Linked DNA regions of Mus musculus. The protein of the gene in region 3 purifies or fractionates together with the protein of the main gene of each other region. This does not show direct contact. Links are inferred from orthologs where the notes say so. Each region holds a gene or a part of one and is shown on either strand. Other genes may lie near its edges.

Region 1 (4,300 bases), on a different chromosome or scaffold from region 3:
ACAATTCAAGTGTTGAAAATCCACCTTAAATTCCTATTGGGAAGTGCTCATGTTTTTTATTTTTAAGAGGGTGGCAGAAGGGAGTGCCAAGGGCATCTAACCAAGGGCATGCTGGAGAAAAACTCTACTATTAACTTATCCTCTCAGTCAGAAGTTTTTATTTTTCCTTTTTAGCTTTGTTGGAAAAATCCATTGACTACAGTGGAGGGAGCTTGAAATTTGAGGAGTCTTTAAAAGCAAATCTGGCAGAAGAGGTTGTCTTTTCACTAAAAGCAATTAGTAGTTTTCTAATTTCTCAGATGAGTCTCCATTAGCTGCAAGGCCAATGACTGACCACTCACTTCTCCTAAGGGAAACTGTTTTAGAAAGCTATTTTCTCATTGAAGGTTTAAAATAAAACCTCTCCAAGTTTCTCAACCAGGTGATTCACTGACATGAAAAAAAGTCTCTGCAGAAGAAAACTTAAAAATACTCCGTCCATCATTCACTACCTTCTTGTCCGGGACTAGTTAGTTGAAAACCCAAACCAAAACAAACAATCCGTCCCCCCCAAACCAAAACTTTATTATGAACAATTTGAGACATAAATACTGGTATGATAGCATATGTGTACATATCCCACAGCTCCAACATCGAAGGACATCCTCAGTTAATTTATTCCCTTCTTTCCCAGTTTCCAGAGGCTTAGTCTAAAACAAAATAAACGTATTGGATCATTTTACCTATCAACACTTTAGTGTGTGTGTGTGTGTGTGTGTGTGTTTTAAATTTAAAGCCACATTACCGTAAGCACGTTCGATAAGGATGACGATAATTCCTTAGTAACATAAAATACTCGGGGAGCGGGGGTGGGGTGGGGGTGTGGGGTGTCATTGCTAACAGGTAGGGGACAGAACTCCGTAGTGGGGACTGAACAAGAAAGGAGAGAGAGGATGAAGTGGCCGGCTGAAGCGGATCCCGGCTGCGAGGAGACCAGCACCCGACTGCTCCAGGTTTCGCTGCTCGTTTACCTGCGTTGGCTCTCTCGCACCGTCAGACCAGGTCAAAGGCGGCCCCAAGTTCCCCGCCTCCAAGGTCCGGGCGGTGGCCCAGCAGGCTCGGCGCAGCTGCACAAGTCTCTGTCCCTAGACACCGGAGGGTCCCTGGAGGGGAAACGATTGACACAGCTGCCTGCACTGTGCCGCGAGCCTTCCCGCGCTGCACCTGCGTCTCGTCGCGTGGCTAGGAACTGGGACTGGCTCCGGAGTCGGTGAAGTCCAGCAGGCCCTTAGCCAGAACCTATACCGTTCGCCAGCTCCGGAACCGGGCTTTAGACACCAGGACCTTGCGGAAGAGAGAACTACAACTCCCGTCGGGCCACGCGGTCCGACCAATGGTGGTAGCCGGCGCGTGCGGGGCGCGGCGCCTGCGCGGCGGTTTGAGTAAGAGGCCGTACGATTGGCTGCGGAGTCGGGCGGCCGCGCGGGGCCTGTGGGAAGCGGAGTGACGGAGCGAGCGGCTGTTGGAGGAAGGAGGTGGGGGGCCGGGAGCGCAAATGGCGTTGAGATGGTTCAGGGCCCTGTTCAAACTCCAGCGCTGACCATTCACCGGCGGAGGCGGCGGCGCAGAAGGCGGCGGCGGCCCAGCGGGGGCACGTAGCGGGCTCGGCACCGGCGGCGGCCGCCAGGGAGGCCTAGGCCCTGTCCGGCCGGCGCGCCTGAGGTGGGGAGGGAAGTTGCGGGGCCGCCGCTCACCCCCCACCCCCCCTGTCGCCCGAGCTTCCTATTTACCGAAGCGGAGCCGCGGACTGTGACGGCAGCAGAGCCCCTCGCCCCTCTCGGTGGCACCGGTCGGCACTGGTCTCTCGCGCGGGGCTCCCGCGCCCGCCCGCGGGCCGTTGGGAGCCGGAGAGGCGGAGGCGGCCCGAGGCCAAAGCACCCGCCAGGCGCCGAGGGTAAGTGAGGTCTCGGGCGGCTGCCTAGGCCCGGAGTGAGTTGGGGCGGGTGGAGGCGGCAGGGGCGGCGCGAGGCTCGTTGCTCACCTGGCTTCTAAGGAAGTTGGGCACCGGAGGATCGCAAGAAACTCTTTCCCTTCCCACCTCTTAATTTTGCCTTTTGAGTTCTTCTCCGGCTACTTGATTTGACTTCTCTTTTCCAAACCCGGTCCGGTTGATTTGAGTCCCGAATTCTTTTTCCCCGTCGTCTCCTCCGCCTCTAGCCGTCACCGAGAGGCCTTGCTTCGGGGACTCGGTAGCAGAAGCTTCCGGGGCGTCCGAAGCGACATCCCTTTCCTAGGCTGTGGGGGTTGGGAGGAGAAAAGTTGCGTGAGTGTCCAGCCCGAGGGGTGTCTCGGCTCCAGCCTCCGGGCGCACTCGCAGCCTCAGGTGAGGGTTTCTGTTTGCCCATTCCACTCTCCTCTCTTTATTGAAGCCCCCCTAATGCATTACCTTGGGTGTCTTTCCTGGAAGTGGCTAGGTTTCTTTACAGCTTCAGTGTAAGGAGGTTGGTTGGTTGTTTTGTATACCCTTTCCCTAATTTAAATCGCAGTGCACTTCCATCAAAAGTCAGCTGGGCTTTGGGATGAAGCGAAGGCCTCCCAAATCGAAAACAATCAGTTGTGAACCTTCTTTTCCTTTTTAGTTAGGACTGTTGGTGAAATTTGAAGCCAGAACAAGATAGTGTGTCTGAAATGTGCGTAAAACGTCATGCCAAATATATATGCTGAATTTGTACATATGTTAAGCTTAGATAATGCCATCGCAGTAGTCTGCTGACTTTTTAAAATGGACGTTATGGAAAACAGTAAAAGCAATCACGTAACTCTTGTACTCATATCTCCTGGATTCTGTACATAATAACTCAACCATATTTTCTAATCAGTACGCTCCCCATTCCTTAATATTAAAAAAATCACTGATATTTCATCAATATTTAATGATGTTAATACATCAGCGAATATTTCTGAGACGTGATCTTTTAAAAATACAGTTGTCTTATTACTTAGCTCAGTATCATATATTCATTTGCAGATCTTAATCTTGCACAGTGAATGCTTTACTGTTTTTTACGGTGAGTTTTTCAGATGTCATAAAGAAGATCAAGTCTAGATTTTTTTTTTTTTTTGGCTTTAGTCAGCATTTTTAGATGATTGCCATGTATGTGTGCCCAAAACATTCCAACTTTGTTGGAATGTATATATGTGTGTAGGTCTGCGTGTCTGTAGTCAGCTTAAAGAAATGACTTTTCTTGCCTTTGGCAGCTGCCCAATTACACTTGGTTTTGTTTAATAGGCTATACTTAACAAGAAAGACAATGAAGCTTGTTAGTGTTCAGAACTACAAAATGGAAACTCTCTGAGGAAAGCTAAAATTTCTTTTAGCACAGATGTGTACGATGACTAAATTATTATTTTATCTGATCAGAGTTGTTTTCCTTTCAAACATTAGGGTGGTGGTGAGTTGTCTTCTGAATATTTGCTGAACTAAATTGGATAGTGATTCGTTAAGTTATAAGAACTTAATAGAAATACTAAAAGTGTAGCTCAAAAATATTTGAAAATATAAGTTAAATATTATTCTTATTGTAAGTTTCCAAGTAATGAAGATTTTCCAAGCCCTTAAGTAATTGCTTACCTTCCCCCTAGAATTGATAAATTGATATTTAAACTGCAGAAGGCCAAAGTGTTAAGAAATGGATAATGATTGATTGTGCTATAAAAGCACTATACCTTATATTTTTTAAAGTGTTTGATTTTTTTTTTTGACTTTTCTTGTAAAATTTTTTCAGTATATTTTTGGGTAAATCAGGTAAATGAGTTTGTAAATTGAAGAGGAAAATCAAGGCTATATATTTCTATTTTATAATAATAAATCATGTACCTTTGTAAAATGGAGTTCTCCAACTTCAGAAAGATGTTACTCAGCAATGAGATACAGGAAGTAGAAGAATGGTTTCTTGAGTTTAGGGAGATGACCATTGAAGGAGCTTTTTAAAGTCAGTTAAAATCACTTTAGTCTAAGAATCAGAATCTTTAAGCTTGGGTAGAAGCTACAGATTGTACTCTATGAGAAAATAAGTTTTTCTAACCCTTTATGAGGAGCTGTAAAAATGTCAAAGAACTAAGTTTGGCCAACTGACATTGTTTAGATCCTGGAAAACTTAATATATTGTGACTAAAGATTTTGTTTTTGGGTGTTTACACTATTCTGATTAAGTTGTGTATGAAGATATGGAATTTGCATGTTTTAAGTTAGATTTGTAGGTATTGCATTGTGAGTTGGTTAGTAGTAAGCTTTTTTTTTTTAAACATTGTAAGTTTCATA
Region 2 (3,926 bases), on a different chromosome or scaffold from region 3:
TGGGAAGCTAGGTGGGGTAGTGCATGCCTTTAACCCTAGCACTAGGGTGGGGGTTGAATCTCGGTGAGTTTGAGGCCTGCCTGGTCTTCAAAGCAAGTTCTAGGACTTGAAAACCCACCTCCACCATCACAAGATGGCTGGGATTATCTCAACAGCAGGGTACCTGCTTAGTACTGCCCTGGGATAGATCTCCAGCACCACACACATCAGAATAACAAATCAAACTGGCAATTTGCCTCACGTCTGCAATTCCCAGGACACTGAGAAATACCAGGCAGGAAGAGTACCAAAGCCAGCCAGCAACACAACCCTGGTCAGAGAGCAAAGCACCACTGGGTACACTTGGGAGATTGAAAAATCAGGAATTCAAAACCAGCTTTACGCACATACTAAATTCAGGGCCAGGCTTGGCCACAGGTAACCCTGGCTGTCTTGGAACTCACTCTGTAGACCAAGCTAGCCTATAAGTCAAAAGAGATCCACTTGCCTCTGCCTTCTGAGTGCTGGAATTAAAGGTGTGCACCAGCACCCAGCACCTTTTACACTGCGTATGCATGTGTCCGGAAGAGGGCGTTGGATACTCTCAAACTGAAGCTGTAGGTGTGTAGGGTCCATCTGATGGAATCTGAAAACTGCTTTTACCCAGAACCATCTTTCCAGCCCCTACACATAACTCATTCTATAACCATAAAACAAACAAACAAACAAACAAAACATAAATAAACACTCAGCAAAACAACCTTATCACTCTGTGGACCAGGCTGGCCTAAAACTCCGAGATCCGCCTGCCTCTGCCTCCCAAATCTTGCGACTAAAGGCGTGCGCCATCACAACATCACAACAAAACAGTGGCAAAACAGTCTACAGAAGCCCAGTGGTTAAACCATAACTTTTTAAGAAAAATAGTGAGAATGTTCAGAGCATAAAGAACTAGAAATGAGGGGTTGGGGTTGGGGATTTAGCTCAGTGGTTTTCAGCTCTGGGGAACAAAACAAAACAAAACAAAAAAACCCAAAAAAAAAAAGAAATGAATGACACCCATAGGCAGGAAACAAGACTGGTAACTACAGTCAGTCCTGGTAGCATGCCCATCTCTAAGATTTGAATCTATCTGCAGAGACTGGTGCAGGTGGATCTCTATGAATTTGAGGCCAGTCTGGTCTACCGTAACTTCCAGTTCAGGAAACAGTGTTATACACTGAGACCTAAACTGACAAGCCATGAAGCAGTTGCCTGGGTAGAAGTGTATGCCTACCCTCTAAGGGTAAATCCTACACAAATAAACAGAAATAAACAGAACTGAACTCACCCTAGGACTTCTTCGAACCGTGTGGACATCTGGGACCTGTAGGGATGACATCAACTGATCAATCAATAGCTAAGCCCAGTTTTGACATCTCACTCCCAAAGCCTTCTCTCAGCCCCTCACCTCTACTGCATGAGCTACGATCTTCTTCAAGACGATGGCCTTTCTGACTGGGACCGCTGGAGTTGTCTGGGGGGGGTAAAAGAAAGTATTATCCATGAGCTTTACAATAGTTCAAAGCCCTCTAGGTCAGTGTAAAAGTACTTTGGGAGCCGGGCAGTGGTGGTGCACGCCTTTAATCCCAGCACTTGGGAGGCAGAGGAAGGTGGATCTTTGAGTTCGAAGCCGGCCAGGTCTACTAAGTAAGTGAGTTCCAGGACAGCCAGGGCTATACAGAGAAACGTTGTCTCGAGGAAAAAAAAAAAAAGTACTTTGGGGGTGTTGCTGAGAAAAGTTTTCCTTATCTTCTATCCAAGACTTCTCAGCCTCTAAGCCTGGTTCTAAGTTTGTAAGTTCTTGCACCATGTTGGGCACCAACTGTGGAAGCATTGGGCGGGAGTTTTTTGACTCCCTTGCTCCCAAATAACTGCAGGGCATTTCTTCCCCCCAACGCCACTACCTCCTGAGTAAAGGACACAGAGCTGTTATTCAAAGGCTGCTGGCACTATGTTGGGCAGGTTCTGAGCTACTCTAACCCTCTCAGGCTGCCTATCTACCAGTCACACGGTCCTCTACCTGAATCTCAGTCTTACTCTGACTCAATCTGGTCCATGTGTGCCCTCATGACTGCTCTCTCCCTCCTCTTGACCTTAGAGTGAAACCACCTGCTCTCTCCGCGCCTCCCCCTCTCCCACTTCTCTCTCCCTAGACTCTTCCGGACGCCTCAATGGGCGCTGATGTCCCGCCTCCTCTGTCCTCTCCTGCCCAGCCATAGGCTGATCAGCTCTTTATCAACCAATCAGAGATGATTTAAAAAAAAAAAAACAACAGTGAGCCCGGAGGTGCTAGTTAGCCGGACTAAGGATACCTAGGCATAGAAATTAGCATCTGAATACGCAGCGCACAAACCCAACCCCAACACCTGGGGGACCAGGAACTCACCCTCGGCCAGATTTCAGAGAACGAGTTCGGGAGATCTGAGCCAGATTTCCGCTTGGACGACTTCGAAGGCTTAGTAAGTGAAGTCCTGGGCCCTGGAAAGGAAAACACGTTTGATGGTGAGCAAAACTTTGCTCGAAGAAAAGGCGACAAACAAACGAAACAAGATGCTTGACGAGTTCGGAAAAGCAAAAGTCGTTTTCCAACTACCCCTTTGGGGCGTCTTCCACCGGGAGCCAAGTTTTGTTCCCCAAACAACCCCGCTCCACTGCTCCCGTGCTCACCAGACCGCTGGGCAGCCCCTCCTGATCGTGTTCGCCGCTCCGCCATGTGTACGGTCGGGCTCAGTCTCCGCCGCGGTCGCCTACTCAGGCTCGCGCCAACCGGGAACTTTGCTGCTTCAAACGTTCAAATTGCCCGCCTTGCTAGCGAGAAAGCGGAAGTGACACAGGCCGGAGGCGGACCATCCGCTTTTGTTGTCACAGGCTTTACGTCTAGCTAGCAAAAGGCAGAGGCGTATCCTGCGGCGCTGTGGCGTCATCAGCGTGCGCCGCACCCGGAAGAGACGTGGCAGCGGAGGGATAATCAGGCCGGACCTGAAGGGAGCGGAGCTGCAGCTACCGGAGTTGGTGAGCTCAGTCCCCGGCCTTCCGCGCTTTTCATTACCGTACGCACCGGTCACGATCGGCATCGCGGAGGTTCGCGGACATCCAGAATGTGGTCGGCCAGCTGGGGGCGGGTCAAGAGGGGGTGGGTCTTGGGGGCGGGGCTGGTGGTATTGGAGCTGTGCAGAGATCTGGCGAGGGCCTTCCTGGGTCTTGATGGAATGAAGGGTCGGTCGTTTGTGGTACGATCTGTACAGGAGACGTGGCTTTACCCATGCTAAGGCATTATGCTAGAATTTGGTGTTGGGACTGGTGTGAGACGGGACTGAGAGATTTAAAAGAAGAGAACTGGGTTGGTGAAAACAAACTGGCAGCCACCAAAACCTGGCTTCCTGCTAACTGATTTCACCCCACCACACCCTCCAGGATCGGTCATGGGACTTTGCAAGTGCCCCAAGAGGAAGGTGACGAACCTGTTCTGCTTCGAACACCGAGTTAACGTCTGCGAGCACTGCCTAGTAGCCAATCACGCCAAGGTGGGGCGTTTAGAGCAGTGTCTGAGCAGGGCGGGTGGGTGGGCAGACAAGATTGCCTACTTCTAAATCCATGTGGGGACCTATGCTAGACTGTAAGCTCCACAAGGGCAAGAACATGGGGTGTGATGCGCTCTGCTATGCCTTCAGTAGCTGCTCAATAAATGGTCACTCAATAAATGGAACAGATGAAATGATGAGTCTGATGAGAGAAAACGAGGCATTTGAGCCTTGGAGTGGTGTGTGCATCGTGGAGCCTGGGGCACCAGTTGTGACATCTCTCTCCCACTCCAGTGCATCGTGCAGTCCTACTTGCAGTGGCTACAAGATAGTGACTACAACCCCAATTGCCGCCTGTGCAACACACCCCTGGCCAGTCGGGAG
Region 3 (4,284 bases):
AATTTAGCTTATCCAAAAGCCTTAGGAAACAGGTATTTCCTCTGCTTTAAAGCGGAAGAAACCTAGTCATTCCTTAAGTTAAAACTGTCAGCGAGTCCTTTACTTCAACTGACAGGATGACAAAACAGTCTCCGTATCATCAGGCTTCAAGCCCAAAGTCCTTCATTCTGCTACTCGTTTGTTAAAACCTTAAAAAATAAACCTCGTGGGGCTGGGGACTTGACCCAGCTGAGAGTGTGCTCGCCAGGCACGCACAAGACCTTCAGCTCAAACCCAAACTCTCAAGTAAACCAGGTGTGGAAGTACACACTTGTAATTCCAGCACTCTGAAGATGGAGGCAGGAAGATCAGAAAGTCAGATTTGAAACCAGGCTGGGATATGAGATCCTATCTTAAAAACAAACGAACAACAAAAACCCAAGATCTACTTGGTGCTCAATAAGTGGCACATCTATCAGTATTCAATCTGGAGTCAACTCTCTCTCCAGTTGCAGCAGAGCTAGTAAATCACATAAATTGGAATTAGTCTTGTAACCACCAATTTCCAATCTTTGGACTTCTCCCTTGATTTTCAAGGATCACATCTCACAAGTACAATCCTCTTTTACTATAGTCATTAAGTGTTGGAAAGATTCTTCTAATGCAAATGTTAACAATAACTATATACCAATAAAACATCTCAAGGAATGGCATCTTGAGAACACTCATGCACTAGTGATGAAGATGAAAAAAAATGTACCATAAATGTGTAACCAAAAATAAATTTACAAAGTGGGAATCAGAGATCAAAAAATGCTTCATGGTGCCAAGCTTTGAAGGGTATGCAGAGGCAGAAAGCAGGTGTGGTAAAACACAGCTATAAATCTAGCACTTGGGAGGTAGGGGCAAGAGGATTTAAGAGTTTGAGGCCATAAGAAATTATCTCCAAAACAAACAAACAAACAAAAGGTGGGACAGTGGTGGCACACACCTTTAATCCCAGCACTAGGGAGGCAGAGGCAAGTGGATCTCTGTGGGATGGAGGCCACCTTGGTCTACAGAGGAAGTTCCAGGACAGTCAAGACTACACAGAGAAGCCCTGTCTGGCAACCCCTCCCCCTCAAAAAATAGAGAGGTAAGAACCCAGGCCTGTTCCAAACAGCTGGATTTTTAATTCTAACAACGCTGAGAGAACTCGATTTCAACAAGTGGTACAACCAAGCATTTTCTACAAGAGTCACAAGACCAAAATCCTAAGAAATTTAGTGGAACTCAAAGCATCAACCCTCTAGGCCAGTGGTTCTTAAACCGTAGTAGGGGAAGTAAGTAACCCGTCATTACCACCCCCACCCGCACTCCAAACTCTGACATTGTCCGAACACATTTTTGATGGGCATTTCAGGGGAGTGGAGGTGCTGTCATTTAGTGGAGAGAGGTCAGGAAAACAGCTAAACATTCTACAATGCACAGAACCAACCGCACAGAGAAAGTGTGTGGCTAAAGAGCTAGTGTTAGGAAACAATGCTCTAGACAGAGAACAAAACCGCAAGCAAGAGTCCAGTGAAGGTATTCGCTATGAGCTACTTCAAGGTAAGGGTGGCCTAGCAGGCTAGAAAATGAGTAAACTAGAATATCTCTGGAGTGGAGGAACACAGCAAAGATTCATAACGAATACTTCTAGAGATGGGTGAGAGGAAACTACGAGCTATACAGCAAAAACTAAGATATGAAATAGTAGGCTTAAGTATGAAAAAGTAGGGTTACTATCAAAGTCACTCTAACTTATCAGCCTAACCCCTTTTCTACAAAACATTTATAATGGCCTAAGTGTTATCTTATTTTGTACTTTGCTTCTCCTTTCCCGCGATCTCGGATTTGCTCTCCCCGCATAAACTTAACTGATAAAACCCCAAACCCTCCACCAATTTGGCAAGCGAACAAGTTCAGGCTTATTTACGGTTTTCTGGTAGGAAAAAGGCAAATCAAAGCAACAATCTCTTAGGCGTGTGGGGGGCATGCGGAGGGGTGGGGGGCATCGCAATCCCACGCTGCTGAGCGGAACGCTGGGTCAGAAATTCAAAAGTGCCACAGCAGAGAGGGGGGGGGGGAAAGGAATCAGAGTGGAGCGTTCCATCGGGAGGTGCGGGTGCGGGGAGGGCTGAGTAGAGCACAAAGTACACAGCTTGGGATCGGACGCCAAAGCAGAGTTACGGTTCCCAAATTTTCCCAGAGGTGTCAAACAAGTTTAGGAAGGTGGAACAATGCAGACCGGAAGGAAGCCGCGGGCCAAACAACTGGCAGCAAATTTCGGGAACGCCTCTTTTGGCGGGAGGGGTAGTGGGCGGGGCGACGCACGGTTCGGCCCATACCATTCGGGCCAGAGGGGGTCTGCGCCGAACTCCGCCAACTGACAGTTGGGAAGAGACTCGAGTTCAGTGTATGCCAAAAGGGAAAGCAAGTTCAGATCCAAGCCCCACCAAGAGGATCAAGGAACATTTCAGGGTTCACAATGTCTCGGGTTGCATGGGGGTAGGTTGTACTACTTTGCAGACAAGCAGGGGGAACCGGACCGGGACGCGCGCAGGGCCACAGCCGGTTTTAATCTCACCAGAGCCATTGGGTCCAATGATGGCGGTAAACCTCTGAAATGGTCCGATAATCTGTCGACCCTTGTACGATTTAAAGTTCTCGATCTCAATCAGTTTCAGGAAACCCATGACAGCGGCGCTGGCGTAGGAAAGGCCGCGCCTTACTCCTGGGAACGAGGTTAGCCCGCGCGGGAAATAGCGCAGTGCAAGCCGGGTGTACAGTAAGCCTCGCGATAATAAGTCCAAGCCAATCACGATTTCCTGTTTCCGGGGCCAGAAATGGTCACTTCCGCCTGAAATAGCGCTTTTGTTGAATTGTTGCCCGGCTGGAGCACGCGCTGGGCGCTCAGGCCCCGCCCCTCTACGTAGTTACCCAGCAACTGTTGAAGTGGCCGCCAACTAGGACGGGAAGCGTTAGTGCTCTGATCACTTCGGGGGAAATCAGAGCAAGCAGGCGGGGTCTGAGCCCACGCTTGCTGGGAAAGAAGTCACTTCAAGGTTCTGCCAGAGCTAGTGGGAGGCAGAAGCTCGGCTGGGGTTTGTAGTCTAGCCAGCAAGGGGGGAGACGGGGAGAAGCGCTTCAGCCAAGGATTCAGTCGGGAATGGGAAGGCGCCCTCGGAAGGGTGGGCAGTTTGGGATGGAAGAGGGATCAAAGGGAGGACTTAGATGAGGCGAGCTTAGAGTGTGAGGACGATGAGAGTATCTCTTAGACAACAGAGATACAAGTTGGGAAAGGCTGTGTTCTGAAATACTGCCCCTATCGTCTGCTTCTCTCTTATTTCTCCAAGCAGAATTTAAAGACTGCCGTTGTAAATCCAAGAGTCAACTTGGGTCCAATCCATTTTCGAGCTTCAAAACTGGAATTCTGTACTGAGAAAGGTATCTTGTGTGAACACTAGGAGTCCAGGTCCTTAAGCCAGTGCTCCAGCTCTGTCCTTTTCCCTCCCTGTTAAATCAAGTTTCCCCCATTTCCACCACTTCCCCTCTGTCTCTTTCCCTCCCCCTTTCTCTCCTCTCTCCCTCCCTTTCTCTTTCTCTCTCCTCTCTCCCTTCCTCTCCCCCTCCCCTCTCTCTCCTCTCCTTCCCTCTCCCTCTCTCCTCCCTCCCTCTCTCGCTCCAACTCTGTCCTTTTCCCTCCATTACATCAAGTTTCCCCCATTTCCACCTCTTCACCTCTCTCTCTCCCTCCCTCTTTCTCTCCCTCTCCCCCCTCTCTCTCCCCTCCTTCCCTCTCCCTCCCTCTTTTTCTCCTCTCTCCCCCCTCTCTTCCTCTCTCCTCTCTCTCCTTTATACCCTGTCCTTCTCCAATTCTTTTCCATCCCCTTTTTCTTCATTCTTTCATTCCCCTTCTATCACCTTATAGTCATGATCTTAGCAGCCCAGGATGTCTACTGAATCATCCCCCTATTGTGACAACAGATTGTCTTTATAGGCCGGGGTTAGTGCCATTTTCAGTTAGATATGGAAAGAGTCTGGTGGTTTCCACAGCTATTCCTGGGTATCTTCTTTTATTTTTTCAAAAGTTTCTCCATCTAGCTCTGACTGTCCTGGAACTCTGTAGACCAGGCTGGCCTCGAACTCAGAGATCCACCTGCTGGGATCAAAAGTGTGTGCCACCACTGCCCGGCTTTGTAACTGTGTGCAAGTGCAAGCGTGATCAAATGTGTGCACAAGCCACAGACATTAGGCATCAGATCCCTTGGAGCTGGAGTTACA

The links. Proteins that work in one complex are often made in the same cells at the same time.
Region 1: the proteins of Smc1a (region 3) and Wapl purify together in Homo sapiens (affinity purification with mass spectrometry; 7 studies listed by BioGRID and IntAct, with this or other methods). This does not show direct contact. The link is inferred for Mus musculus from reciprocal best matches to the Homo sapiens genes SMC1A and WAPL.
Region 2: the proteins of Smc1a (region 3) and Cdca5 purify together in Homo sapiens (affinity purification with mass spectrometry; 7 studies listed by BioGRID and IntAct, counting the BioPlex papers as one, with this or other methods). This does not show direct contact. The link is inferred for Mus musculus from reciprocal best matches to the Homo sapiens genes SMC1A and CDCA5.

What each region holds. Positions count from the first base shown.
Region 1 is NC_000080.6:34,672,428-34,676,727, forward strand, and holds the start of Wapl (wings apart-like protein homolog), read left to right. Parts: upstream 1-1,500; 5' UTR 1,501-1,933; exon of another isoform or gene 1,934-2,241; intron 2,242-4,300. UniProt on the Homo sapiens protein: Regulator of sister chromatid cohesion in mitosis which negatively regulates cohesin association with chromatin. Involved in both sister chromatid cohesion during interphase and sister-chromatid resolution during early stages of mitosis.
Region 2 is NC_000085.6:6,083,971-6,087,896, reverse strand, and holds the start of Cdca5 (sororin), read right to left. Parts: upstream 2,801-3,926; 5' UTR 2,735-2,800; coding exon 2,689-2,734; intron 2,500-2,688; coding exon 2,408-2,499; intron 1,496-2,407; coding exon 1,430-1,495; intron 1,346-1,429; coding exon 1,310-1,345; intron 1-1,309. Other genes in the region: Zfpl1 (zinc finger protein-like 1), read left to right, coding at 3,444-3,545, 3,837-3,926. UniProt on the Homo sapiens protein: Regulator of sister chromatid cohesion in mitosis stabilizing cohesin complex association with chromatin. May antagonize the action of WAPL which stimulates cohesin dissociation from chromatin.
Region 3 is NC_000086.7:152,014,944-152,019,227, reverse strand, and holds the start of Smc1a (structural maintenance of chromosomes protein 1A), read right to left. Parts: upstream 2,801-4,284; 5' UTR 2,697-2,800; coding exon 2,588-2,696; intron 2,509-2,587; exon of another isoform or gene 2,342-2,508; intron 1-2,341. UniProt on the Homo sapiens protein: Involved in chromosome cohesion during cell cycle and in DNA repair. Central component of cohesin complex. The cohesin complex is required for the cohesion of sister chromatids after DNA replication.